Sus scrofa: one gene and its partners. The main gene of each other region encodes a partner of the protein of the gene in region 7 in a complex. Links are inferred from orthologs where the notes say so. Each region holds a gene or a part of one and is shown on either strand. Other genes may lie near its edges. The genes, in order: GEMIN5, SART1, STRAP, DHX16, SNRPF, CWC15 and SNRPG.

Region 1 (3,977 bases), on a different chromosome or scaffold from region 7:
CCCCTTTTCTGCCTCATTTCCATCAGCATAAAAACCATGCCTTTATTATCTTCCATATAACACTGCCCTGACCTCCATATAACACTGCCCTGACCTCCATATAACTCCTCTGGCTTCATGTCTATGCACATTTTCACAAAAAACTTTGTGAAAAAGTTGTCTCCATGCATATCCACCTCACCTCCCAGTCTCTTGAATTCACTGCAGCTGGACTTTCTCTCCTACATTCTAGTGCTCATGACTAGTCTTCAAACTAGAGAAAGGACAGCTTTGGGAGAGAAGTAAATGGAGTGGTGAGGGAACGGGGAGTGCCCACTCAGGCAGCTGTGTAAACAACTCTGCTGGTCACTGGGGAAACAGATCCCAATGCCAGAGCTTAGTCATTTGACACTCTGGAGGTAAATGTTATTTTATGTCCAAGGGTAAACATGGAGGGAAAAAAAGGTGAAAGAGGACATTTCTGACATTTGGAGGCTGACTGAAGAAATGGGTTATGGAGAATGAGGGAAGTACAGTATCATGGAAACCAAGGAAACAAAAATAGAATGAGAGAGACTGAGGACCTAGAGGGATACCAGGGACCTAGGGAGAGTGACTACCTGTAGATGGTTTCCTCTAAGGAATGAAGGGACAGGAGAAGGTAAAGCAATGTGAAATAAGATCATCAACAAAACTAAACCATCCACACAGATGGCAGCACAGTACTTACCCAATGGCTACTAAATCTTCATGATGAGGTGAGCAAGTAAGACAGAAAATTGTCCTGGGTTCTATAAACAGGTGCTGGCTGTCATTTCTGTTAAGCCAGTAACAGAAAACTACTCCCTTTTCATCTCCAGATACTATTAAATCCTTTACTCGAGGAGACCAATGCAATGCTGATATTGTATGCTTTAAAACAAAACAAAAATTATTTGCTTCTTATTTGTCAATGCTAAATTTTTAGTTTTTAACCTGTACAATGCTAGGCACATGACAGGTACTTAATATATACTGTGAGTTCCACTTGTATAGCAAGACTACATCATAACCAAATGATAGGAGAATTTAGGCTACTGGGGATCAAAGGACCATTTACATTTTTTTTTTTCCTTTTATAGATTAATGCAAAGTTCTTACTAAAAAGGAGTTCTTTCCTTTCCTACATTCTCTCAAAAAGCAGATATACAATTAATCACCTAGTTTGGAAACAAGTTTCATTCACTTATAGTTTATATTGGGAGTCATTTTCACGTAAAGAACCAGAGAGTAAATATTTTAGACTGTGTGGGCCGTACTGTCTCTGTTGCAAGTACTTAACTCTGCCATTGTCGCATGCAAGCAGCCAATACTTAAAATTGTAGAAGGTACTTAAATGAACAACTGTGATTATATTCCAGTAAAACAGTTTGGAAAAGGAGGCAGCAGTGCAGTTTGCTGACCTCTTATTTATATTCACCTCCTTCCAGAAAAGTTTTTAAGTATCTTACCATATAGAGCTTATCTAATGAACGAAAACAATTACTTGCACAGATAAGCTAGCAAAACTATACTTGAAGCAAGAGAACTCTGGCAGATATATAATAATGGCCTGAGAAACTAGTAAGCCACGGTACCTGATGGAGTGCATGTTCGGTCACAACTGTTTTTGTCTCTACATCCCAGATTTTCACAGTCCCATCGTCAGAGCTGGTGGCACAGAGGTTGTATTGACCCAGGTGATGACAAAATGTGAAGCCAGAGACCCTTTCGGTGTGTCCCACCAACTCCCCTATGACTTCAAGCAAAATCAGATTCCAGGTTAAAGTGCTACCTAAGCTTCCTTGGCAGAATCTTACTGTTAAGTGGTGATTGAGACTTCACTTAGCCCATGGAAGAACTCACAATTAGAGACCCCAAGTGCTGGTACTGCCTTTACCTGGGTTTAGACATGTCTTTTTTATCTCCTTGGGCCTCAGTCTTCTCAAATCTATAAAATGCTGTTCATATCCCTTGATATGCCCAGTTCTCAGACTGAGGAGCAGCTCAGTGGAAGCAAGTAAAAGAGATTCTTATCTAGATCTAGCCAGACATCGTTTGGAACAGAATAAATATCTGGCATCCCATATCCTAAGGCATAAGCAAAACCTGGGTTGGAGCCTGAAAGCATCCGGCTCAAGTCCTTCATCTTACAGAAATTAGTATCATAAATTTGCAAGATCTCCCTTAAGGCGTGCAGCTATTAGGCAGCCCTCAACCCCAAGGAGCTCTCAGGGGGCCCGCACGCACTGGGTTGGGGAGGAAGGCCTAGATGTTCTAAATATCTGAAAAGAGACAGGGTTAACTTTTCAGTAAGCAGAGGATCCACGTGAGAGCGCCAGGAGGCGGGACCGCTCGGCCACAGCGTGGTGTATAGCTCAGCCTTGTAGACTGGGACGCGAGTCAGCTTAGTTGGCCGTAAGGAGACCCTTCTCCTTCCCGAGCCTCAGTTTCCTCATCTAAAGAGATGGGGGTGGCTAGAAATGCCCACTCGGAGCCTGCAGGGAACTCAGGAAGGGCAAGAGGGCTGGGGCCAAGAGGTGGGGAATTACCTCGAAATGGGGGCGTCCCTGGTATCGCGTCCGCGCCTGGGCCCACGCGGACAAGGAAGACGGAGGTCCGTGCCGCGAAGCCGAAGAGGCCCCCGGGCACGGCATCGCTGCATCGGGAGCAGTACCAGTTAGGGGAGGGCGGCAGCGTGCGCGGTTCCTGAGCCATGATCACTGCCACCCAGGGATGAGGGAAGCAACTACTTGCGCAGACCTTTCGTAGCCCCACGCTGTAGCCAGGAAGGGGCGGGGTTGACTCGGAGCCCCGCCCCTTCGGGCCCGCCGCTACGGCGCGCGCGGAGGTCCAGGCCGCACCGCTGGCTCGGCTACTGGTGTCGCTGGGCTGGGAAGGGCGGGGTCCAGAGCGCGGCGCTCCGCCGCGGAACCTCGCCTGCGGCTGGAGCGTCTAGGGCGGCTGGAGCCCAGCCCAGGGGTTAGGCATTTTTCACTTCTCACAGCAATTAAGAGGTTAGAACGCTTTTTTCCCTGGACCTATTCAACCCCTATCCCATCAAATATTTTTTTTAAAGGGTTTCCGCAACTGGGTGAAAATTCTGTCTCTGGGTTTTTGATACTCAAGTAAAAGCAGAATAGTGACTCTTTTGATCTGATTACCCGTCAACTCTGTGAAGGGACTATATGTTAAGTGCTGTGGAGGAAAAAGAACGGAAGTTCCCTTCCAGCTCAAACATCCTAAAATGCTCAGATTCTGTACTTACACTCTTCTACTCCCTATTGCATGTTTGCATTGGGTATCTTGAACTCCGGCATACCCAGCAAATAAAATTTGAGATATCTCTGCAAATAAAGGGAGGTCAAATATATTTGGATGTGGGTACGACCATAACTTTGGAGGCATCCAACCCTAGATTGACCTCTTTTTTCCAGTTGTCTGAGACTTTAACCTATCCTAAACCTGTTTCTCATTTGAAGAAGGAAGATGATAATCCAGGCCTTGTTGGATTGCTGTGGGGAATACATGAGATTTAGTCAAATGCCTACTGGCCATATTTGGCAGCAAGTGCCTGACGATTATTAACTCTTAGCTCTTGGAGGTGAACCTGGAGCATCATACTTTGTATTTGAACTGCTTGTTCTTTATTTTCAATTATTTATTTTACTACTATTATTATTTTTGCTTTTTAGGGTCACACCCGCGGCATATGGAGGTTCCCAGGATAGGGGTTGAATCGGAGCTGTAGTCACTGGCCTAGGCCATAGCCACAGCAACGCCGGATCCTTAACCTACTGAGCGAGGCCAGGGAACAAACCAGATTCCTTTACGCTGCGCCCTGACGGGAACTCTTGTTTTCATTTATTTATCAAATATTTTCAATATTATATTAATTTCAGGTGTACAACGATTCACAATTTGTAATGATTCCATTCAAAAGTATTATAAAATATTGGCTATATTTCCTGTGCTGTACA
Region 2 (3,961 bases), on a different chromosome or scaffold from region 7:
GTCCCAAACCGAGGGCCTGACCCAGCGCTCAGAAGAGCACTGGCCTCTGCATTAGGCGGAAGGCCTGGCCTGCCCCTACCCAGGAAAATGCCATCCTTCCTCTTGGGTCTGAGTGTCCACTTCTGTAATGCAAATCGTTGGCTAAGATGGTTTCTATGGCACTTCCAAATCCCAAGCAGAAGGCTCTACGATGAGAAAGCTTCACCCACCTGCTGCCCCCAAAGCTGCCCGTCTCAGAAGAAGACACAGTAGCATAAAGGTGACAGTACTCACTTGGTCTCCTCGATGCTGAGTGACGAGGCATCGCCCGAGCTAGTCTTGGAGCTGGCAGCTGGAACAAGAGAGAGAGAGGCTCAGGAGCTGAACACGGGGCCCAGAAGCCACTTCCTTGGCTCCAGCCGCAGGGCTGAAGGTGAGGGTCCCCCATCTGCCCCGAGACATCAGGGAACAGCAGCCTTCCTCCATCCCAGGGGCTCCTCCTACCTGACTCCCAGGCTGTCGACACACCTTCTGATCCAAAAGGTCCAACCTGCCACATCCTTCACTCTGCCACCTCTCCACCTCTGTGTATTCTGTTGTTACAACCTACACGGCCCTCTCTGGCCTCACTCTGATTAGCAAGATGCTATCCAAACGCAACAATCAGAGGCCGGAGTCCTGATTCCTGATCAGCACCAACTCCTCTCCCCTGCACTCCACAGCACGGTCACGGCCATCTCCAGGTCTGTTTTTGCTCACAGGGCAGGGCCCATGTTGGCAGCATATCTGTGTTCTCTCTGTGTAATTCACACAGTCAAAAAATACACTTACTGGCGCCTGTGCTGTGAGGATGCTACAGGAAATAAAGCAGCGCTTCTGAGCTCTTTCACCCACCTCATAAACAGCAAATGTCACACACAGAATGCCACACACAGAAGCTGGACGCCATCGGCTGGAGCTCCTCCCTCCAGCATGGCCACCTCGCAACCTACGTCTTTCCCTCCCACCCCACCTGGACCCTGACTCCCAAGCACCTCCGTGCTCGCTCCAAGGTCGCCAGCCTCCTTGTCTGTAAATCCGATGGATTCTCTGCCACTCTGGTTTTGCCTCATCTCCTGTGGTGTGTGACACCACTGATCACGCCCACAGATCCCATGACATGAGATGCTATGGTATTCTTGCTTTGGGGAACATCCAACCTCCTTTTTTGTACCATCTTGCTCCGCCTGCTACTAAAACGTAGACATTCCTGAGGTTCTGCCCCCGACCCTGGCTTCTCAATCCTCACTCTCTCAAGGGACTTCATTTGCCATTGAACCCTTATGACTCTCAAACTGCTCTGTCCTGCCCAAGCCCTGAGTTTCCCCATGTGCCTCATGCAACACTCCTCAAAACTGAATTCACTGTCTCTCTCCAAAAAATCTGCTTCTCTTCCAAACTCAACTTCCGTCGACAACACTACCACCCACCTGGTCACACCAGCCAAAATCCAAGGACCATCCTCAATTCCTTCTTCTCCTTCCCACTGTCATCCAAGTGCTTAAGCTCTGTCACCTCCTCCTCCAAAACACCTCTCCAATGGGTCAACGACTCTCCATCCCGCTGCTGCTGCCCTGGTGCCAGCCATGGCCAGTCCTTACCTCCTCTATGGGTCTTGACTGCTCTTTACCCAGTTCTCAACACAGTGTTCTCTGTGATAACGTGAATACGACTAACTCGCTCCCCAGCTCGAATTCATGGCTCCCTATTACTTTTGAAACAAAGTTCAAAATTTTTTGTTTTTTGTTTTCTCAGGGCCACACCCTGGCATATGGAGGTTCCCAGGCTAAGGGTCGAATTGGAGCTACAGCTGCCGGCCTACACCACCGCCACAGCCACGCCAGATCCGAGTTGCACCTGTGACCTACACCACAGCTCAAGACAGTGCAGGATCCTTAACCCACTGAGCCAGGCCAGGGGTCGAACCCACAACCTCATGGTTCCTAGTCGGATTCGTTTCCGCTGCGCCAGGACGGGAACGCCAACAAAATTCAATTATCTTAACAGGCTTGCAGGAGCCTCTGTGTTCGGACCCCTGCCTCATGTCTCTGCTATGAGCTCTACATAACCTGCCCAATACCAGGTGTCCTCCTGCCTCTACACACGATGGTACCACTCCATGCGTTCACTCGACACATTTAGCGAGTGCCTGTGATGTGTCAGTTAAGGAAAACAGAGAAAATCTCCACCTTCACGGAGTTTAGCAGAGAAAGCCAACCCTTAATCCCAAATAATCAAAACAAGACCCTTCCAAATGCGCTGACGACGGGCCTGGGGATGGCTGGGCCTGTGGGCTTGGCTTCCATCCCCGAGGCCCTCCACCCTGAGACCCTCCCCATCGCCCCGCCCCCTGCCCAGGCCCCGCCCCTCACCGGCCTCGTAGCCTTCATCTCGCTTCTCCCGCTTCACGCGGCGCTCGGAGGGCTCTGTCTGGCTACGCTCCCGCCCGTGCGTGCTGCTGCGGGCCTCCGCTTCGGCCCCGCGCCGCCCGCTCCCGCGCTCGCTCCCACGCTCCCGGCTCCGCTTTCGTCGTTCGCCACCGCTGCTGCCGCCGCCGCTGCTCCGGTGCTTGTGTTTTTTGTGCTCCCGGTGCCGAGGCGGCTGCTCGGTGGCGCTCCCGGTGCTCGCTCCTGCCGTAGTCCCGGCCGCCTCCTTCTCCCCGCGGTGCTTCTTTGACGACCCCATGGTGGTAGGTCCACCCGAGCCCCGCCGCCGCCGCCGCCGCCGCCACCGCCGCCGCCGAGCCCCGACGGCGCAAAATGGGAACACTTCCGGGTCGGGCCCGGCTGCGCCGTCGCGTTGCCGGAAACCAAGAGCGGCTGCTTCCGTCCTTTGCCTCGGAGCTGCCCCAAAGGCTCATGGGAAGGCTGGGATCGGGCCCGACTGCGCATTCGCGGCCGGCACTGGCCGAGCGGCGGTCTTTGACATAGTGGTCGGATTGCGCGTGCGCTCAAGCTTGAGGGGCGCGTTCGAGTCCGGGGAAGACCGTATCCCAGAATTTGAAGGACCTAGGGCCCATCTAAGCCAGCATGGCCTCCCTGGCTTCCCTCCGCTTGCACACCCTCAGCCACGGGATGCTCACTGCAGCGCCCGCCGCTCCAGCAGAAGTCCTCCTAGTAGACTCCCTGGGGTCGTGGCCGATCAGGTGTAGGAGGACGGAGCACGTTCTGCTCCTGAGACCCTCAGCTCCACAACCCAGCCTCCTCCCAGCCCCCACAACTAATATTGTCTGCAAACGCTGCCTTCCCACGGTCCCTGAATTGGGTTTTTTTAACGTGCGCTTTGACTGCTACGGAGCTCGAGATGGGCCTTTGCATGCCTGTGAACCCCTGAAATCGAACGCAAAATTTAGCACATCGGGGTGTGTGTGTGTGTGTGTGTGTGTGTGTGTGTGTGTGTGTGTGTGTGTGAGAGAGAGAGAGAGAGAGCGCGCTCGCGGGAGCTGCTGCTGCTTTTTTTTTTTCCCTCTTGAGAGGAGCTCTAACTTGAAGTTGCTTGAAGCTAAAATCTCAGTTTACACAGGAATTCTCCTATGGCGCAGCGAGTTAAAGATCTAAAGATCCGGGACTGTCACTGGAGCGACTTGGGTCACTCCTGTGGCTTGGGTTCAATTCCTGACCCAGGAACTCTCGCATGCCACAGGCACAGCCAAATAAACAACAACAACAAAAACTCTGTTCACACAATCTCTCCATCCCTCCTGACACCCCTCACCTCCCAGTTGCCCCATCTGGAGGCCCATCTGTCTGTGATTATGCTCCCCTTTAAAGTTCCGCTTTCCTCCCCCCCAGAACTGGGAGTTCCCAAAGGCAGAAGCCATTCTGTCCTATTCACTCTTGACTTTCTAGGACCCAGCATTTCTAGGGCAAGTTGCCGCTGTTGCTCTTGGAGATGCCATGCTCACACCTCAGGAGCAGAGGCAGAGCTGTGCACAGGGAGGGGG
Region 3 (4,089 bases), on a different chromosome or scaffold from region 7:
AGCCAGCAGCGGTAACGTGAGATCCTTTAACCCACTGTCAGGGACCTGGGACCAAACCCTACCTCTGCGGCAACCTGAGCCCTGCAGTTGGATTCTTAACCCAACTGTGCCACAGCAGGAACTCCTTAAAACTTAAATTTATTTTTTAAAAACTTACATATAGTAAAACTCACTCTGTGGTACAGAGGTCTAGAGTTTCAACAAATGCACAGTCAGGTATCCACTATCTCAATCAATCTGCCTTCATTTTTTATAATAAACTTGGTATGTTTAATTTGCTTACAACAAAGGAGAAACACATTTAGAATCGCTTCTTAATGTGAAATTCTATTAAAAAAAAAATCAACAAGACAATTTTACTCTCCAGACTTTCAAATCTAATAAGGAGTATTCCACGTACAACAGCCCTTGACTTGCCTGCCTTAAACACTTTATTGTTTACTAAGTCACAATCAGGAACTAGAGGTACCAAGATTACATAAGCTGTGACCCATGCCCAGATAGGGAAAGTGGGTCATCGCAAGTCACTTTAATATCATATACAAAAGCAAAAAAAATCAGAGTAGGTAAGGCATATTCTGGCAACAGTTAGATTTAGTATAGCCAAATGATGGGGCATATGATGTGTAGTGCCAGATGATGCCCAAGAACTAGGATTAGGCCAAATTTTAAAGAGCTAACAATGAAATTTAACCTTTAGGCTAGTGGTTAAGGTTGTACATCAGAATCATCCAGAAAAACTTTAGGGAAGAAAAAAAACTAAAAAACAAAAAAACCTAGGTTGGGAACTCCAACTCCAGACCAATTAAGCCAGAGCTTCTCAGACACATGCATCTGAGTACTTTAAAAGCTTCCCAGGTTACTGTAATGTACACCCAAGGTCATGGGCCACTGACAAAGCAGAAGCAAAGATCTTTAGGTAAAGAAGTGTTATGTTATTTGTCTCCAGGAAGACAACTGGCTGATGAAGAGATGGGAAAGGACCAGTTTAGGAACCTAAACCATTAAGGTAGTGGCAGAGGTACAAGAAACAATGTGGTCAGGAAACATTCTATTGGCAGAATCAACAAATATGATAATCTAGATGGAAGAGAAAAATCAAGAATGATTTAGAAACTTAGAAAATGAAAAATAACTGAGTTTGGGAATCTTAAATATGTCTAACAAAAATGAGAGTGAAACTGGGCTAAAAATGTGGGGCATCAAGCACTAAGAAGTTAAGGAGTATAAGGTATTATTCAGCTAGAACATGTGGAGCAGTATTTGCCAGCATGACCATCAACATTCATTATCTGAAGTGCTTGTTAATAATGCAGATTCCTGGGTCCCAGTCCAGACATACAGAACTAAGTCATTTAAGTCTCTGAACATTTTGAGAAAGCAGCAGATAAAATATGGGCGGAATTTTGGTGACATCAAAACAACATGTGTTCTCTACGTTAGGCAGTGCATGAGAACTTTATGAATAACTTTTACTGAACTTTTATTATTGATCATTTCAGAACACAATTCACAGAGAACTGTAAAGGTGGCCATTTCTGGCTACACTTACGCTGTGAAATCTGCAGCTGCTGTAGCTGCTTTGGTGGCATCCTTATTCAATGTTGCACCCCAAACAGCACCCTTATGACCCAAAAACGTTCCAATCCAGTCTCCTGTATCTCCCTGGCGTAGCATAGGTTTGCCATCTAAAAAATATGTAAGAAAACATGTGATGTAGAAGCTCAAATTACTTAAAATCTAGGATCCGAACTTAAAACAAACAGTGATGAATAACAAACTTGAAAACTGCTTTTGTTGTCTAACTGTTCACTCACTGGGGTCACTAAGGCACATCCAGAAATAAATTAACTGAAGAACTGGGCCATTCTCTCTGGGAAGGACTTGAAATGCGGCAGAAAGACTATTCATCTGCAACAAAACAATCTAGACGTGAACCTTATTTTGGACAAACTTAATAGTCTCAGCTTCCACTTGAAAATTGGAAATGAAAAATTCCATACCACAGAAGAATATCCAATGAAATAGTAGAAGTGGAAAGTCTTTGTAAAATAAAGTGTTACTTAGCCTGGCCTAGTTTCTGCATTCCCCAAATCCTTTAAAGATATTTACGGTGTTGGCCGGGGCGTCTGGGCAAGTGCACAGTAAAGCTTATCCAGAAATAGCAAAAAAGGTAAAATGAGAAGCCTTGGTTGGGGGCATAACTTACCAAAGCTTCTCCTGGCATCAGCTGCGCAATCCTTAACACTACTCGCCCTACCAGCCCACTAATCTCAAAAGCCGCAATCCATTCGGCAATGGGAAGTGCCGGCCCCACTCCCTTTCCGCCCAGTCCCAACCATCTGAGCCCAGCGGCCCTGCTCACCTTTGCAAGCACTGATTAAGAAATAGCCATAAGGCGTGATGCCACTGAAGGCCAAATCCACCACAGGCCGCGTGTGGCCGGAGCAAGTGAGAGGCGTTTGCCTCATTGCCATGGCGGCGGCGAGCCGAGCGATCCCGCAGGAGAGCTGAGGGTCGTCTCGTCTTTTCTCTTCTCCGCGGCAGCGCCTCTCACTCAAGGCCTACGCCCTGACGCTGGGCCGGGAAACAGAAAAAGGCCAATCTGGTGGCCCCGAAACCAGGAAAGGGTTAGGGGTGGGTCAGGGAGTGTGCGACTGGCGGTCGACCGCCGCCGAGGGAGGGAAAGGGAGGGAGGGAGGAGAGTAGGGGAGGGGGAGAACAGGAAAACCGGCAGCCACGATCCCCACCGTCCACACCGGTACTCGCAGGAAGTGACGACACTAACCCTCCGCCGGAAGTGACGAACAGGAGGGAAGGCGGGTTCGCTGGGTAGAAGAGGCGTACTGGAGCGAGAGCGACCGCAATGCGCAGGCGCGAGATCAGCTCAGGTTGAGCACGTGATGCTGGCTCCACGCTGGCTACGCAGGGCTCTTGGCCGCGTTCCAGGCACTGGGTGAAAATCCTAGCGCTGAGCTCTAAGCAGCTTGGGGTGCTTTTCTGTTTTTGAGCCGTTTGGAGTCGAGTTGGGGGCGTGCGGAAGCGGGTCCTGCTTCAGTCATACCCCGAATCTGACCGCATCTGTGGTTTACGCACTGAGCCGTCCAGTGGTTTGGACTGTGCTATCTAGACGTCTACACTGAACAACCAGAATTGTTTCCAGCGGTGGCCCAAACCAGCAAACACCGTCTAAGAATTTTTTTTCCAATCTTTGTTAGCAGTTGTATAGTCAGCTCCTCTGGGATTGTCTACAAGTAAGGCCCTTAAGAAAAGTCTTTCTCCCAGTCACCCCTTGTGCTGTGTAACCTTGCATTGTTAGTGTTTCAGACGTGAGGGTTATGCGACTCTAAAAACAGTTAAATTAGTTTATCTTTTGAGGACGTTGGGAGACCCATGAGCAATGGTCCTCAAATTTTTTGATGAATACCCACATCAATAAAACTTGCGTCCGTCCCCCAAATATGCGATAGTGAATAATTTGTGAGTTATTTGCATATTAGTGCATAGAGAAGAATAGAAATATTAGAAGAACCTTAAACTTCAGTGTAAATAGAAATACTGGTGTTGTCTTCCTGCAGGCTCTCCTCTTTGGATATCACTCCGTGGTGTAGCAGAACTGTTGATGGATTGATTGCTCATGCAAAAACTGACCTGAGCAAGAAGGGTCCTTTTTCTGGGCAAGTTATTTCTTTCCTTTAATGCTTGTTAGGATGTCAACAGAAAATACCAGAGATTTTTTTTGTGGTCTCTTTCACTACTTTATCCCAGGCCATAATGTCTTGGCACATACCAATACATATCTAATCAGCACAAATGTCTGCAAATGTTTCCCTCTCCCTCATCTTTTTGTAGTAAACATGTATCTTCGTTCAAGTCTAATTACTTGAATGGAGACTTGAAGTGCTTCCCCATTCTATTTCATTAGCATTTTGTTCATTAATTTATAGTACAGCACTTACTATATATGTTTTCCACTATCTTTTTTGTTTTCTCTGTGCCAACCTCACCCCAAGTTCCTACACACATGCACACACACACTCTGTTGACATTTAAATTGTGAGCTCCTTAGTGGCAATTGTGTGGCACTGT
Region 4 (4,098 bases), on a different chromosome or scaffold from region 7:
AGCCGGAAGACGCCACTGGAGGCAGCTCCTGTCTTCCGAAAGGTCACTTTCTGCAATCACACCAAACCTCAGACGCAACTTCCTGGGGATTTATGGAACGTGCTGCTCCTACAAACCTTCTTGTCTGAGCGCTCCAGGACGTTGCGAGTTCGATCCTTGTCCCGCTGCCTAACCCGCTCCGCAAACGCATCCCGTTCCTCCAGGTCCTGAAGGCGCTCTCGCTCTGTCCGCTCCCACTCATCCTCCGACTCTGGCTTCTCCGTCTGTGGTTTATTCCCCCTGCAACCCAGCCCAGAGGATTAGTTAAGGGCATCCCGAGGCCTGCTGTCGCATTATCCACCCGCCCCATCCTCTCACCCCCCACTTTTGGTCTTTTTAGGGCCACCGCACCCATGGCACATGGAAGTTACCAAGCTAAGGGTCCTACACCACGGCATGGCAACTCGGGATCCAAGCCACGTCTGTGACCTACACCACAGCTCACAGCAATGCCAGATCCTCAACCCGCTGATTGAGGCCAGAGATCGAACCCGTGTCTTCATGGATACTAGTCGGGTTGGTTACCACTGAACAAGAATAGGAACTCCTCTCTCACCCTACTTCTGACTTACCCTGTAGTCTTCTTTCCTTTCTCAGGAACTTCTTCCTCCTCTTCTTCCTCCTCTTCCTCCTGACGTTTCTTCCTGAGGTGTTTCCGTTTTTTCCGCTTCTTCTGGAGACTGCTCCCAGCCCTGCCTACAGCCTCCTCACTGCTCTCCTCACTGTCCTCCAGCAACCTGTAGGATCGGTTCTTTTCCAGCAAGGCTCGGGCCTCTCGCTCAGCTGCCCGAGCTGGCTTTTCTGCCACTGCCTTCCGTGGGACCTGTCAGAAGAGGAGAAGACAAGGGGGTGTGGGCAACTCCCGATCCCTGCCTACCTACTCAGCCCTGCTCCTAATTTAAGGAGTAATTTGTTTTTTGTTTTTTTTGGTCTTTTGAGGGCCGCACCTGAGGCATATGGAGGTTCCCAGGCTAGGGGTCCAATCAGAGCTACAGCTGCCGGCCTATACCACAGCCACAGCAACACGGGATCCGAGCCACGTCTATGATCCATACCACAGCTCATGAATCCTTAACCCACTGAGCGAGGTCAGGGTTCGAACCCGCATCCTTGTGGTTGCCAGTCAGAGTCGTTAACCACTGAGCCATGACGGGAACTCCAGGAGTAACTTGATCTTCAACTGGCCTTCATTCTCTCCCTTCCCCAAGACCTTGCACCAGGCCCACCTGCCTGAATGGGACCGCTCAGCTTCTAAACTTCTTTTCAGTAATTCATTTAACAAACATTCATTAAAGCCTGTCCTGTGCACCCACTGCTAGGCATTAGGGATACTGGGATACATTAAGAGAAAAATCCTTATCCTCATGGAGTTTACATTCTCAAACAGTTCTCAACTGTTCTGCCTCCCTTCTTTCCAATGACTAAGTCATTCCCATACAAGGGAGTTCCAGTTGTGGTCAGTGGTTAATGACTCTGACTGGCAACCATGAGGATGCGGGTTCGACCCTGGCCTCGCTCAGCGGGTTAAGGATATGGCGTTGCCTAGAGCTGTGGTGTAGGTTACAGACGTGGCTCAGATCCTGTGCTGCTGTGGCGTAGGCCAGCAGCTGTAGCTACAATTGGATCCCTAGCCTGGGAACCTCCATATGGTGCAGGTGCAGCCCTGAAAAGATGAAAGACAAAAAAAAAAAAAAAAAAAAATGTCATTCCAACACAAGGACTGACAAACTGACAAGGATTGTTTTGCAGAAGCCTGTCACGTGCCTGGCACTGTACCAGACTCCAAGGATACAGTGGTGAACAGATTAACAAAAAGCCCTGACCCTCACATCACAATGTTCTAATTTCATCTCTCACTAAGCACCTTGTAGGACGGATGCATCAGGTTATCTGCCATCCTGTAAACAAGCTCAATACTTTCATTCTTTTTTCTTTTTAGGGGCACACCTGTGGCATGTAAAGTTCCCAGCCGGGCTAGGGTCTAATGGGAGCTATTGCTGCCGGCCTGAACCACAGTCACAGAAAGGGAGGATCTGAGCCGGTGTCTGCTACCTACACAACCCACGGCAACACTGGATCCTTTAACCCACTGAGTGAGGCCAGAGATGGAACCTGTGTCCTATTAGTCGGGTTTGTTACCGCTGAGCCACGACAGGAACTCCCCACACATTTCTTCTATAACCGCACTACTCAAGGTGTGGTCTGTGGACCATCAGCATCACCTGGAAACTTGTTAGATTTCGAAATGAAGAAACGAAGAATCCTTTCCAGACCTACTGAATTAGAAGCAGCATTTTAACAAAAGCTCTAGAGGAATCCTACACCTGTTAAAAGTTTGAGAACACTGCTCTATACCGCTTAACCCAACGTACTTAAGCCGTCCTCAACCCGCAGGCGATAACGGACAAAGGATAAACGCCTGTTAACTGAGTTAACTTAATTCTCCAAACGCGCGTCCAGCCCAGCCTCACTGGGACAAACAACCTGGGGACCCCTTCCCTGCTCCACCCCCTCTCCTATTTCTCCCACGCCGGGGCCCCGCCCCTCTAGGCACCTTGTTCCAGAGTTTCAGGGCGAAGTCCCGGGCTGGCCCGCTGAGGTCCAGGGTATCAGTGTCTCGCAGGCGCTGCACAAACTCTTCCGCAGAGGCGCAGCGCTGTGCGGTACCGATCAGGAACTGGGCCACGTGCCGCTCGCTCAGCCCCAGCACCGAGTGCAGCTCGTCCTGCACCCAGCGCTCCAGCCCAGCCGGCGTCGCCATGGCGACCTATGCTCCTTATTCCTGGCCCTGAAAGTATCTCCAGCAGCCACGCTGGCGACCGGGCGGGTCGGAGGCCTGGAGCCCCGGGCTGGAACCTCTCCTCCCCAAAGAAGCTGCCTTAGCACTTCGGGGTTCGGTTGCTGACAGTCCAAAGCAATCTTCCCGGACCCCGGAGGCCGGAAGTGGTCCACTTTTCCGGCCTAAGCACTACGGTGGCTGAACGGGCCCAAATCTCGCGGAAGTGTACGGGATAAAAGTTTCATTTCCTCCCTTAGTTAATCTCTCTGCCTCCCCCACCACGTTGGTGATTTGTAGGTATTTCATTCAGCAAATGCTAAGATCCTAATATGCGTTAGGTACAGTTTCAGTCCCCGGGGATATAGCAAAAATCAATCCGAAACGAATCCCGTGATGAATTTACAGAGGCTGCGGGGGAGGGGGAAATTTACATGTAAATTAAACATGTAGGAGTTCCCGTGGTGGCGCAGTGGTTAACGAATCCGACTAGGAACCATGAGGTTGCGGGTTCGGTCCCTGCCCTTGCTCAGTGGGTTAACGATCCGGCGTTGCCGTGAGCTGTGGTGTAGGTTGCAGACGCGGCTCGGATCCCGTGTTGTTGTGGCTCTGACGTAGGCCGGTGGCTACAGCTCCAATTCGACCCCTAGCCTGGGAACCTCCATATGCCGCGGGAGCGGCCCAAGAAATAGCAAAAAGACAAAAAAATAAAAAAATAAAATAAACATGTAAATTCTATGAAACCAAAAATAACGCAAGGTTTGTGAGTGTGTGTTTGCGGGAGGGCGGTGAAGTCCATTTCAAATTAGAAGATCGGTCCACTTATTACAGATTCGCCCGTGCTGATTAGGAGTGACCTTTGCTAGGACTGATACTTTCTGCAGAAATGAATATAGGTTAAGCATAAGGCAGGACTCTAGGTAGGAAGAAATTTGGGATCTGAAGGAAAAAACTCAGTGCCTTCTCAGAAAGTTATTTTAGAAGATCTCCAAACTAATGCACAAAATGTATTTTGCTTTTTTTTTCTTTCCTGACAGCTTGAGAGATTGATCAGTGGCTACTTAATTTTTTTTGGCCACGCCCAAGGCATTTGGAAGTTCCCTGTGCCTGGATCTAACCTGCTGCACAGCAGTACAAGGCCAGATCCTCACCCGCTCGAATCAGGGAACTCCACCGTCTGCTTAACTTCATTTTTCATCGATTTTTAGGTCCATACTCGCGGCATATGGAGGTTCCCAGGCTAGGGGTCAATCGGAGCCACAGCTGCCGGCCTGCACCACATC
Region 5 (4,004 bases), on a different chromosome or scaffold from region 7:
CTTCTCTCTTAAGAACTGCTTCTATCAAATTACTTAGATTTGTACATTTAGCATTTATCAAAAGACACGAATTTCACTGGAAAAGGTTCTCTCGGACCAAGTGCTGGGATGTTTTGCTTTCCCCACAAATCAGTATATTTTTCTTATGACATTGTGAATCAAACGCCTGAGCTCTTCTTACTTTTAACCACCTGGGAATCAAATCTGTGGCTGAATTTTTTTTTTTTTTTTGTCTTTTGTCTTTTTGTTGTTGTTGTTGTTGTTGCTATTTCTTGGGCCGCTCCCGCGGCATATGGAGGTTCCCAGGCTAGGGGTTGAATCGGAGCCACAGCCACCGGCCTACGCCAGAGCCACAGCAACGCGGGATCTGAGCCGCGTCTGCAACCTACACCACAGCTCACGGCAACGCCCGATCCTTAACCCACTGAGCAAGGGCAGGGACCGAACCCGCAACCTCATGGTTTCTAGTCGGGCCCGTTAACCACTGCGCCACGACGGGGAACTCCTGTGGCTGAATTTTTAATATGTCTCATACAAAGTTCATCAAATTATAACATCCTCCTTAGCCTTGATTTGACCCCTTAATTTTGCTTTGTTTGTCAATTAATTATATCCCTGTAAGTCACACCAAACCTTTGAGAAGTCACATGAAGAAAAATAAATACAATCTAATGATCTTCATAACTCTTCCACTTACCTGCATATTCATATAGCCATCTACAGACACCAGGTAGCCTTTGTACTCCATTCCCCACTTAAGTTTCACCATCACTGGCTTCCCTGTTAACCCATTGAGGAAAGGTTTGGGATTGAGAGGCAAACTCTGCAAAACAAAAACAAAAAAAGAACCCAACTGAATAAGTTTCTTTAGCTTGGTTTCTATTACCTACTCTTTTCTGCCAAATTACCAATATGCTGTGGTATCCAAATGAAGCAAACTCTTGACTCCATCTCACGTTATTACATAATTTTCACTTTTATTTGTGGAAGAACTTCAAAGAAATATCCAGCCAGTCAATTTCATCAACCCCATCAAGACTTATTCAATGTTCACTTAAGAAACATTCACTCACTGTTCCAAAAATATAATGAAACCAAGGAAAAGGCAATAGAAAAAAAAGAAAAAAAAAAAAAAAGGCAGATGACAGTCCCTGTCCTTAAGAGACCTACAGTGGGAGGGAAGGGTCAAAACATACACGAGTGGGCAATTACTTTGTAATGTAGTAAGAGGAGAATGCTATTACATGATACCAAACAATCCAGTGTTAAGAGAAATGGAAGAGTTGCCTGAAGTAAGTAAATGCCTGTTTTAAAGGATGACAGATATTTCCAGAGGGAAAGAGGCTATTCTAGGCAGAGGAGGCTACCTATGCAAAAGGAGGGAAGAATGACTCGGCAAGGTGATCTCAGGGACATAAAAGTTAGTTTTGTATGAAGTTACTGAAGAGGCAGGGGCAGATCATAATTGAGTCTCTCACTATGAAAAGGTAGGCCTGGATCTTATTTGACTTAGCAGTGACTCCTACATATAGGCAATCAATCACTTAATGTTTGTTTATTCAGCAAATGCAACAGTATCTCCAACGAATTCAGACTTTTCCCCCTTCCTTCATCTGTTGGCCCATCCACCCAAAGAGAGAAAAGAACCAAGAAACTTGGCTACTAAACCCCTCTAGGATAAGCATACTCAGAGTGATCTCAAATAGTTCTATGGTCTTCACTCTTTTCTTTCTCCAATTTATTAGCCACACGGCAAGTATTTTTTATCACATCATATCTCTACCTAAAATGTTTTGATGGCTTTCCAAAGTAGACCCGGGAGTAGAACTCAGACCTCCTAAAACTGCCTAATACTTGCCCAACACTCCATCCTAGCAAGCAGCTGTGGCTTTCTCTCAATTCCTCCAACTGGTCAGGCTTTCTTTCGAGGCTCAGAGTCTATGCTCATGTTTCCTGAGCTTGGTGTATACACTCTTCCGCCTCTTTAAGGGTGTGTATTTCATATCGTTTAAGTTTCAGGTTAAATCCCTTCTCCCAAAGATGCCATCCTTAAACACTTCTAACGTAGCATGGTACCCCCTCATAGCATCCTGTGTGCTTCCTCCTTAGCACTAACTTTATTTGAAATTATGTATTTGTCGTTATTTGATCAATGTCTCTCTCTCTCTCACACCGACTTAAACTGGAGCAGGGGCCACACCAGTACTTCTCGCCCTATAGTCCTAGTTCCTAGAACACACCTGACAGGTAGCAGGAGCTCAGTAAAAATTTGCTAAGAGAACAAATGAATGCTCAAAGCTCGGGCTCAGTATTCCAAAGGGCTGCAGGGCTTCCCAGCATCACCAGACAAAAGCGGATTTTGGAGTGCTGTAAGCTGTACGTGAAAAACCGCTTCATCTTTACTCCAACTCTGTGGTCCCAGGCAGCAAGAGCAGCTCAGGCTCAGATTCAAACGAAGAAGAGGGGGAAGGGGACATTCCTAGGGAGGGGAAGGAGGGCGTGCGTCAGACACCCAGAACTGGCAGAAAGGGGCTGGCCACAGGCTGCGCGGGGCCTCACGCGGATGAATGGGAAACGCGCGAAGGCCCGGCGAAGCTGGTCACCCGCCCTCCCGCCCTCTCTCTCTCTCTCTCTCCCCCACACGGGCGACTCTGACCTTCTCTTTCTCCTTACCATCGCGACTACTGCTGCTGTAGTGGGCAGATGCTGCAGACTACCCGCCGCCGACTCAGCGCCGTCCGGCCCTCGTGGACTGGAGTTGGCTACAGCAACTTCCCAGCCACCAAGCTTCCAGAGAAATGGCCGCCAAATAGCAGCGTGACCTTTCCCCTCCGACTACGGCTCTTCCGGCTTCTGTGATTGGATGCAAAAAGATGCGTGCTGATTGGCGGAAGTGACTGGGGCCTGTCTCCTGGCAACCAGCAGGCTCGAGTTTCCGAGCGCCTTCCCGGCGGGGGCAGGAAATAGGAAACCTTCAGCAGCATGGGTCTGATACCTGCGGCACTGCAAAGGCAGAGAGGTGGCTCGAGTTGCCTGTTTGCTCGCCTGCCTCGAGGGTTTGCTGTCTGTCCTGCAGAATGGACGTGATTTCTCGCCAACTTGGCTGGTGGAGTTTCCTTTGGCTTTGCACACCTGGGAAAACGAGCTCGGGGCTCTCAAGTTTCTTCTTCATTTTCCCACAGATCCTGAGCCATGGGGACTCCTCTGCCACAGTCCCGTTCTACCTGATGGCTCTCTATTCTGTAGTGCTCATTTCACCCCATCTCAGAGGAAGTGGAAGAAGCAAGACTAGATAGACTTAAGGAGGTGAAACGCACCGGAAGAAAGTCAACTGCAGAATATTTTTCAGATGAGGTCAGACAGAGACTAAAATACGGTGTGGTGGCCTCCCGGTCCACCTGTTTCTTGTGCTTTGCGAGCAGAGGCCCACTACAGTCCTCATACTGGATTTATTTTTTTCAAATATATATATATCTAAAACATTTTGGATATAAATTTATATACATGTAATATATATTATAAATAAATTGCATATAAATTCAGTATAGCTGAATTACAACATTGTGCCAGTTTCTGTTGTACAGCAAAATGACACAATCATACACATATATACATTCTTTTAAAAAAATTTTTTTTTCTTTTTTGTTTTTTGTTTTTGCAGCCCTAAGGAGTTGAATTTGAAATTGAAATTTATGGAGTTCCCGTCGTGGCTCAGTGGTTAACAAATCCGACTAGGAACCATGAGGTTGCGGGTTCTATCCCTGGCCTTGCTCAGCGGGTTAAGGAGGTTAAGGGTCCGGCGTTGCCGTGAGCTGTGGTGTAGGTCACAATCCGGCTGCGATCCTACATTGCTGTGGCTGTGGTGTAGGCCGGTAGCAATAGCTCGGATTAGACCCCTAGCCTGGGAACCTCCATATGCTACGGCAGCGGCCCTTGAAAAGACAAAAAGACAAATAAGAAGAAAGAAGAAAAAATTGAGATTTAAATGTTGCGGTATTGTGGAG
Region 6 (4,000 bases), on a different chromosome or scaffold from region 7:
AGCGATCGAATTGGAACTACAGCTGCTGGCCTACACCACAGCCACAGCAATGGGAATCTGAGCCACACAGGGGATCTGAGCCACATCTGCGACCTACACAGGATCCTTAACCTACTCAGCAAGGCTAGGGATGAACCAGCATCCTCATGACACTGGGTTTTGAACCAGCCGAGCCACAATAGTTAACTCCATGGAGAATTTCATAGACAGAAACAATGGGGCCTCAAAAAGTCTGGCTGTGAAAATACCTTAATCCGAACTGAAACAATGGTTGCTAAATATTCCCAGATCACCTAGTTCTTTCCATATAGAAACATAAAAAGATGGAACTGGAATCAAATTCATTACCATCTCTAATCTAATCTAATCTAATCCAATCTAATCTATCCTAACCTAATCTGATCCAGTCTTTTAAGAAACTTAAAGTTCACACCAATATTTAAAAGCAAGCAAACAAAAACAGTAATCCATTCTAATTACCACGTGAAAGAAAAATTACTGTCAACACAATGTCATGAGAGACGTGTCCAGGGTGTAGGGTAGTCTAGGGGTCTAGGGAGTGTTGGTACCTCGGGTCGGCCTATCTCTATTTTTTTCTCTTGCAGCAGCTCTCTCTCTCTCTTCCAACTCTCTCCTGAAGTCGCGGTTCCGAACCTCTTCGGGGGCATCCTGAGTGGTCTGTCTAAAGCAGAAACAAACCAGGGCAAAAATACTTCTTAAAAACACACGGCTGTAGTCATAGAAGACAGCTTGTGAAAAGCAACTTTGTCCTGAGTTCCTGAAACATAAAGTCCCATTAGGGAAACTGGACAAGATCACTATCCTAATCTGAGGGTTACTAAGAGGCTCCTGTGATGTCTCTGATATTTCAAGAACCTCAAGCTAAATCACATACTTTCCCATAATAAGGGTGCAGGTTGATTAAAATGTCCTTACTTTTTGTAACTATGTCAACTCAGGGCTCTGTTACAATAATACTCTTAATCTCATATTGATTAGTGCTGATAGTGCACGTCCCTCTGAGATAATGTATCAGCTATTGCTCCATCTACTTATGGAAATTCCCAGTTAATTGCAATTTCTGCTTAAGGAATATCTTGTAGCATTTTACAATCATAGCGCATGATTTTAGTGTTATAAACACTAATGCATTCTACTCCTATGAAAATAGATTACTAAGTGATAATAACGTAAACACTATTATCTTATGACCATACCATTTAACAGATTTGGTCTTCCTTTGTGAAACAAAAAAAAAAATAAAAGGCTTCATTACCTATATTTTATCTTCGTATGAGAGGGTAGGTCTCTACTTGAATATTGCTTGGAGAGTTGGCTCAAATCACCTTCTCCTTTTCCTCTCCCACCTCTTGCAGGTTCAAAAGTTGGCCTAGCTGCCGTCGTCATTTTTTATGCTTTGAAGAAAAAGTGCCAAGTTACTTTCAACATAACAAACTATCATTTTATAAAGTATTAATCAATATCCATCCTTGGGAAAAAATTTCCCTAACTTATTCCCCAAAACTTATTTAAAATGATCTCAAAAGTTCTCATGAAAACAAACAGTGAAGCTCAGGGTGTAGCGGGAATATGCAGATATTTAGTACAAAAAGTTCTGTCATGAAGATCTGAGACTGTGTTCCTGTTCTCCTTCTGGCTCTGTGGCCTTGGACAAGCCAACTAGCTTAAGTTTCCGTCATCTGTAAAATGGGGACTATTCCTCATGGGATTATCATGAAATTAAGAGACTTGACATGTCAAAGCCCTTGCAAAAATACAGTACTGCCGTGTCTCAGTTTTTAAAAAAATCTCAACTCAACCTTACTCCACCAGACTCCTTAAGGTTCCCATTTTATCTAAACCTCACACTGCAGAAAAGAGGCTAGCAGCTACAAAAACAGAGAAGATATCTAAAAAAACAAATCATTGACAGATACTGAAGGTCCTGAAGAAGTGTGCTCAACTTCGACGACAGTTACATTGGCAAAGCTCCCCAACAATCTTTTGTTGTTTCAATTTTATCCTACAGCAGCCAATATAATATAAATCATAACTTTTGCAAGTTACAATTTAAGGGATGCTCAAAACACAGGAACCCACCCCCACGGGACTCTGGTAACTACAAATCAGGGACTCCTTCCTTATGTTACTTCTGCTTTTAAGCAACTAAAAAACACTGCACAGCCGATGTGGCTACTAAAACCTCCCTCAAGCGTCGGAAAAGCAAGTGTCTGGGGCAGCTGGCATACTTCTCTAGATTTTCAAAAAAGGGAGAGGAATATATCCAGTGGGGGTGAAACTGGGTTCCGGGCCGCTGGGGGCGCCGCCGCCTCCCACACACCATCGTTATTTACACTCTGGGTTCTGGGGAGTTCACCTTCGGGTTGTCATCGGAAAGCCCGGCGATTCTTCACCCGTGCCAGATTTGGCGAGGGGCTGGGGGCGCCCAGACCCGCTTAACGCAGCCTGTAGAGCTACCTTCACGCTACGCTCTCCGCGGCCGGCCCGGGACTGGCCGTCCCCAGTCCAACAGGCGCTGGGCTCCGCAACCCGCTGCCGCTCCGGAAAACTCCTCTGCCTGCAGTCGGTTCTCCGCGTCCGCCCCCAACTGTCCTCCCCCCCCCCCCCCCCAGTCTGCTTTCCCCCAGCAGCTCACGTTGGCCGAGGTCCGAACGCACCAGCCTCCGGAGATCATTCAGAAACCACTTAGATTCTCGGCTCCCAGAAACCCCTGCGCCCAGGGCCAAAGCCCAAGACCCGGAAGCAAACCCTAACCTCTTCAGGGGCGGAGGCAGGGACCAATCGGCAGAGGCCAAGGGAGAAGTCGGCGTGACGACAGCAAGAGGCGGGGCTTAAACAGCCCAGGGGGCGGGCGTTTGAAATCGGTGCTTTGAGTAGACCCTAAACATCATTTTATACCTTCGAGAACCAATTACTTAATGTCTCTCCCGTCTTTTCCTTTCCCGACCCCCTCCCAGACGCCTTCATTCCGGTACTGCGTGGACGGAAAGCCCCGGGTAGCCGACACCACGTCCCCGGCTACCGAGAGAGAAGGAGAGAGAGCGTAGAAAAGGATTATACCAAACGGTTTAAATCCAACGGCTCCTGCTTGCTTAATCTTTGAGCTAGACCCAGCAAGCCTAGAGAGTTGGGCTACGGAAAGACTAGTATTTTCTTTTAATTGGATATGAAGAAAGAACAAATATGTACGGGGGCAACCACGATCTTTATAAAGGTACCATTCCTGCAAAAAATGTTAGTCTTCAAAGCAAAGGTTGTATTCGTATTGACTGTTAAAATTGTAATTTTTTTTAAAGCCTAAGTTCTAGCGGGAGGGGAGATGTCACTATTAGAGATTCATTCATTAACCGACATTGAACGTTTAGAACGGTGGGCCCAACTGCCAGGAGCCCTAGATGCAATTATAAGATGGCTACTCATGCGTTAGGTGAAGTTTTAATAAGGCAACGAACAGGAAAGGGAAAAAAATCACCAATTGTCCTTCTTACACCTCCAAAAGCACTGTGGGAGCAGGGATCTTGTTTGGTCAGTTTAACGTGGTTATCGTGATATCTAATCACATAGTCTTTGGCTCAATAGATACTTAAACAAATGAAAATCCAACTCCCTTAGCTTAGTTTCAAATGTAAAGAGCTCATTAAAATTGAACATAAAAAAGCTTTTTCCCCCCCTCAGAATTCTTTCTTTGAACTCTAAAATGAACAAAACAAAAGGGTAGAAAAACTCCCTTCCCTGTAAATTTCAAGATGCAAGTCTTGATTTTTCTAGGAAGGTATTACTCCCCCAGTCTTAGACATCTCAGTAAAGGACACTACCTACCATCATACTAGTTACTTGAACCCAAATCCCAGGGTTTCCTCTTAGATTCCTTTTCCTTCACTTGTCTCATCCAACTTATTTGCAAGTCTTACCAATTCTACTTTCAAAATATACCCTAAATTTCATTCCCACTGCTACTACCCTAGTCCAAGCCACCATC
Region 7 (3,965 bases):
GATGCTAGTCAGGGTCTAAACCCACTGAGCCACTATAGGAACTCCCCGACCCAATATTCAATGACAGAATCTTACGACCAAAACAGAAAAACAAAGATTTTGTTATATTTTGGTTATTTTAAAAACCAAACAAAGTTGTGAAGAAATCAGAAGGTAATCAAACCATATCCAATCCAATGGATATTTTATTTTATATTTGAGACAATACATAGTGTTTTATTTAATATTAAGCAACAATCTTAAATGTTCAGGATATTCTCCAACACCCAAGTATACTTTAGCAAAATAAATGCATATTGAAATTTTAAATAATTTGAATTAAGCAACAAAATTCCATATCAGCAGGGTAGTATGAGAATATGAAGCCAAGGGCGTTCCCGTCATGGCTCAGCAGAAGTGAATCTAACGAGTATCCATGAGGATGCAGGTTGGACCCTGACCTCACTCAGTGGTTAAGGATCTGGCATTGCCATGAGTTGTGGTGTAGCTCACAGACACAGCTCCGATCTGGTGTGGCTGTGGTTTAGGCCAGGGGCTACAGCTACAGCTCCCATTCGACCCCCCACCTGTGAACCTCCATATGCCGTGCGTGCAGCCCTAAAGACAAAAAGAATATGAAGCCAACAAGTCAAACCAGTTTTTACCTCTTTGCTGTAGGCTAGAAAATATGAAACTTCATTCAATTTTAATGTATATCATGGAGAATTCAAAGATAAATAAGACATGAGGCCTGAAGAAGGTGTAAGAAGACAGGTTTTTACAAATAAAAATATATAGTATGACATGTAAAACAATCAATTTTACTAGGATGTTATAAAAAAACACAAATATAACACATATGAACTTATTTTATTTAATCCTTATGAAAGCTTTTTAAGTTATGCATTGTTATTACCACCAATTAACAGATGGGGAACCAAGGCCCAGAAAGGTTAAGTAAAATTTCCAAAGTCACTCAGCAGTGAAAAAGTTTGAGCAAAATCAAATGGTTCAGTTTGGCCCAAGAACATGGTACTCAAATATTAGCGTGTGTAATATTTGGTGCTTGGATTTCAAATGGAGGAGCGTTACTGCTGGTTCAAGAAGTCTGGACTTTATTATGCAGATGGCAATAAGTTACTGCAGCAGTATCAGGCATGGCTAAGATTACTGAAGCATGTGTAAATCAATCCATTACGCTGTACATCTTGAACTTACGTAGTGCTGTAGGTCAATTTTATCTCAAAAAAACTGGGGGAAAAAAAAGACTACTTTGGCAATGATTTTTAAGAGGGGTAGGAAGAATATGATTGGGCCAGGGTATCTCAACCTTGGCATACTGACATCTGGGACCAGATAATTCTGTTGTTGAGTGATGTCCAGTGCACTGTAGAATATTTAGCAGGAACCCTGGCCTCTACCTACTAAATGCTGGTAGAACCAGACTCTCTACACCACAGTTAAGAACCACAGAATTATATTAAAAGCAGACGGAAGATATAAAAATGCAAAAAAAAAAAAAGATTTCGGGCCTCGTGGGTGGCATGCGGAAGTTCCTGGGCTAGGGACTGAACTTGAACCACAGCAGTGCCATGTTGGATCCTTAACCGGCTGAGCCACGAGGGAACTCCAAAAAAAGATGGTAAGGAAGAAAAAGTTAAAAGTCATTTTGGAGGTAGACCTGGCAGGATCTCACAATTATTGAAATCTACATATAAGAAAAGAAAGGTAATTAAAAACTCTCATTAATATCTTAAGAATCAAAAAGGAAATCTTACCAAGAACACCCCCCCAACAAAAGAGCCTTCTCTAATTAGAGAAAAATGAATGTTCTCACGCATTCCAGTTAACAGAGCAAAATATCACACATTCAAGTTCAACCTAAGTGCAAGAAATTAAGAAAAAAGAACGGGATTTCTTTTTTTTTTTTTGTCTTTTTGCTATTTCTTTGGGCCGCTCCCGCGGCATATGGAGGTTCCCAGGCTAGGGGCTGAATCGGAGCTGTAGCCACTGGCCTACACCAGAGCCACAGAAACGCGGGATCCGAGCCGAGTCTGCAACCTACACCACAGCTCACGGCAACGCCGGATCCTTAACCCACTGAGCAAGGGCAGGGACCGAACCCGCCACCTCATGGTTTCTAATCGGATTCGTTAACCACTGCGCCACGACGGGAACTCCCAAGAACGGGATTTCTAAGTTAAAGCTCAAAGGAACCACCAACACACTAAGATGAAGGCAGCTTTTGAATTTCTCATATACCATCAAAACAATTCCATTCCATCCACCTCCTTAGTTCCTTACAGAATTACTGTCCAACCACCTTATCTCGAACGTGATGCTACTCAAGGCGTTCAGCTAACTGTGGTATTCAAGATCTTTAAGTAACGAAGGATCGAGTGCCAGAGACCCGGCCAGGAACTCCGGCCTGGGAGGCAAACCTGCAGACGGAGGGGCCTTTACGTCTTTGAAAAGCATGCCCACCAGGCCGAAATACAACATTTGCGCGGGATGCAGGCCCGGAAACGTGGGACGGTGGCCCGGATCGCGGCGGCAGCCAGTGGCAATAAGCACGGCAGACACACTCTCCGGAAATGGCTGGGGATCCAAGGAACTCAAGGCCTACAAAGAAGCCGCCATTTATGCGCGGCCCTCATGCATACTTACTTCTTCAACTCCGGCGGGTGAGCTTTGCTCATGATGCCTACTCCGCGAACTCAAAGAAACCTCCAAACGGAATTCGTGTTCTCCCTCACGCTCCAGCGGTAGGCCCGGTGCTTTGCGTCTGACGTCACTGATCCCGTTAGCCAATTGATTGTTGGCCGCTTTCACGTTTCACGTCGCGATACTTAGGAAAATCCTGAGCTCGCAGATCAGTCCCAAGCTTCCGTTGTGTCGCCAGGGATTGGCTAGAGCGGAGGGGTGGGGCCTCCAGTCTTTATATTCCTCTTTGTAATTGGGTTGCTGTTCCTGCCTCTAGCATTTGAAGGACGCTGGTTAACTCATTGTCTTTGTGGGTTGCAAAGTTGTCTTGACGCTACCAGATGAAAATAAGCTCTGGAGGGGTAGGCTCCTAAAAATTTCTTTGGCATGTGTGTGCATACTTCCATGTGTTGTTCTTCCCTTTGTTGTCCTCTGCAAACACTGCGGTTTTTTTTTTTTTGGTCTTTTTAGGACCGAACCCTCCGCATATGGAAGTTCCCAGGCTGTGGGTCAAATCTGCGCTGCAGCTGCTGGCTTTTGCCATAGACAAAGCAACGCTGGATTCTTAACCTACTGAGCGAGGCCAGGAATCAAACTAGTATCCTCATGGATACTAGTCCGGTTCTTAACTCCCTGAGCCACATCGGGAACTCGTTTTTTTTTTTTTTTTAATTTAGCAAATTGAAGGTTTGAGGCAGCCCAGAGTCCAGCAAATCTCCCAGCGCCATTTTCCCAAGAGCATTTGTTCACTTTGTGTCTGTGTCATTTTGATAATTCTTACAGTATTTCAAATTTTTTCATTACTGTATTCGTTATGGTGATCTATGATAGGTAATCACACTAAGAAAAAAAAAATCTTGTGACTTGCTTTGAGGTATTTGCTTCACTGTTGAACCTGTGGTATTTTAGTATTCCCACAGGATGTCATGCTACAACTAAGGTTCTAGTAACAGCTCAGTTAACGACCTCTGCACCAAAGGAATAGAGTGAGGGGGCCTCAGTTTCCAAAAATTTTAATCTAGAGGAGTTCCCGTCGTGGCGCAGTGGTTAACGAATCCGACTAGGAACCGTGAGGTTGCGGGTTCGGTCCCTGCCCCTGCTCAGTGGGTTAACGATCCGGCGTTGCCGTGAGCTGTGGTGTAGGTTGCAGACATGGCTCGGATCCCGCGTTGCTGTGGCTCTGGCGTAGGCCGGTGGCAACAGCTCCGATTCGACCCCTAGCCTGGGAACCTCCATATGCCGCGGGAGCGGCCCAAAGAAATAGCAAAAAGACAAAAAAAAAA

Evidence for each region.
Region 1: SNRPG (region 7) and GEMIN5 share a complex: the UniProt entries of both Homo sapiens proteins name them as parts of the SMN-Sm complex. The link is inferred for Sus scrofa from reciprocal best matches to the Homo sapiens genes SNRPG and GEMIN5.
Region 2: SNRPG (region 7) and SART1 share a complex: the UniProt entries of both Homo sapiens proteins name them as parts of the U4/U6-U5 tri-snRNP complex. The link is inferred for Sus scrofa from reciprocal best matches to the Homo sapiens genes SNRPG and SART1.
Region 3: SNRPG (region 7) and STRAP share a complex: the UniProt entries of both Homo sapiens proteins name them as parts of the SMN-Sm complex. The link is inferred for Sus scrofa from reciprocal best matches to the Homo sapiens genes SNRPG and STRAP.
Region 4: SNRPG (region 7) and DHX16 share a complex: the UniProt entries of both Homo sapiens proteins name them as parts of the minor spliceosome. The link is inferred for Sus scrofa from reciprocal best matches to the Homo sapiens genes SNRPG and DHX16.
Region 5: SNRPG (region 7) and SNRPF share a complex: the UniProt entries of both Homo sapiens proteins name them as parts of the U7 snRNP complex. The link is inferred for Sus scrofa from reciprocal best matches to the Homo sapiens genes SNRPG and SNRPF.
Region 6: SNRPG (region 7) and CWC15 share a complex: the UniProt entries of both Homo sapiens proteins name them as parts of the minor spliceosome. The link is inferred for Sus scrofa from reciprocal best matches to the Homo sapiens genes SNRPG and CWC15.

Annotation. Positions count from the first base shown.
Region 1 is NC_010458.4:68,278,044-68,282,020, reverse strand, and holds the start of GEMIN5 (gem-associated protein 5), read right to left. Parts: upstream 2,801-3,977; 5' UTR 2,716-2,800; coding exon 2,550-2,715; intron 1,757-2,549; coding exon 1,596-1,756; intron 892-1,595; coding exon 710-891; intron 1-709. UniProt on the Homo sapiens protein: The SMN complex catalyzes the assembly of small nuclear ribonucleoproteins (snRNPs), the building blocks of the spliceosome, and thereby plays an important role in the splicing of cellular pre-mRNAs.
Region 2 is NC_010444.4:6,370,543-6,374,503, forward strand, and holds the start of SART1 (U4/U6.U5 tri-snRNP-associated protein 1), read right to left. Parts: upstream 2,801-3,961; 5' UTR 2,704-2,800; coding exon 2,391-2,703; intron 332-2,390; coding exon 274-331; intron 1-273. UniProt on the Homo sapiens protein: Plays a role in mRNA splicing as a component of the U4/U6-U5 tri-snRNP, one of the building blocks of the spliceosome. May also bind to DNA.
Region 3 is NC_010447.5:56,734,090-56,738,178, forward strand, and holds the start of STRAP (serine-threonine kinase receptor-associated protein), read right to left. Parts: upstream 2,801-4,089; 5' UTR 2,478-2,800; coding exon 2,366-2,477; intron 1,689-2,365; coding exon 1,553-1,688; intron 1-1,552. UniProt on the Homo sapiens protein: The SMN complex catalyzes the assembly of small nuclear ribonucleoproteins (snRNPs), the building blocks of the spliceosome, and thereby plays an important role in the splicing of cellular pre-mRNAs.
Region 4 is NC_010449.5:23,205,074-23,209,171, forward strand, and holds the start of DHX16 (putative pre-mRNA-splicing factor ATP-dependent RNA helicase DHX16), read right to left. Parts: upstream 2,801-4,098; coding exon 2,594-2,800; intron 863-2,593; coding exon 612-862; intron 280-611; coding exon 117-279; intron 1-116. UniProt on the Homo sapiens protein: Required for pre-mRNA splicing as a component of the spliceosome. Contributes to pre-mRNA splicing after spliceosome formation and prior to the first transesterification reaction.
Region 5 is NC_010447.5:87,620,064-87,624,067, forward strand, and holds the start of SNRPF (small nuclear ribonucleoprotein F), read right to left. Parts: upstream 2,801-4,004; 5' UTR 2,677-2,800; coding exon 2,674-2,676; intron 824-2,673; coding exon 698-823; intron 1-697. UniProt on the Homo sapiens protein: Plays a role in pre-mRNA splicing as a core component of the spliceosomal U1, U2, U4 and U5 small nuclear ribonucleoproteins (snRNPs), the building blocks of the spliceosome.
Region 6 is NC_010451.4:27,044,481-27,048,480, forward strand, and holds the start of CWC15 (spliceosome-associated protein CWC15 homolog), read right to left. Parts: upstream 2,801-4,000; 5' UTR 2,657-2,800; intron 2,626-2,656; exon of another isoform or gene 2,378-2,625; intron 1,416-2,377; 5' UTR 1,408-1,415; coding exon 1,277-1,407; intron 683-1,276; coding exon 570-682; intron 1-569. UniProt on the Homo sapiens protein: Involved in pre-mRNA splicing as component of the spliceosome. Component of the PRP19-CDC5L complex that forms an integral part of the spliceosome and is required for activating pre-mRNA splicing.
Region 7 is NC_010445.4:72,197,557-72,201,521, reverse strand, and holds the start of SNRPG (small nuclear ribonucleoprotein G), read right to left. Parts: upstream 2,801-3,965; 5' UTR 2,679-2,800; coding exon 2,647-2,678; intron 1-2,646. UniProt on the Homo sapiens protein: Plays a role in pre-mRNA splicing as a core component of the spliceosomal U1, U2, U4 and U5 small nuclear ribonucleoproteins (snRNPs), the building blocks of the spliceosome.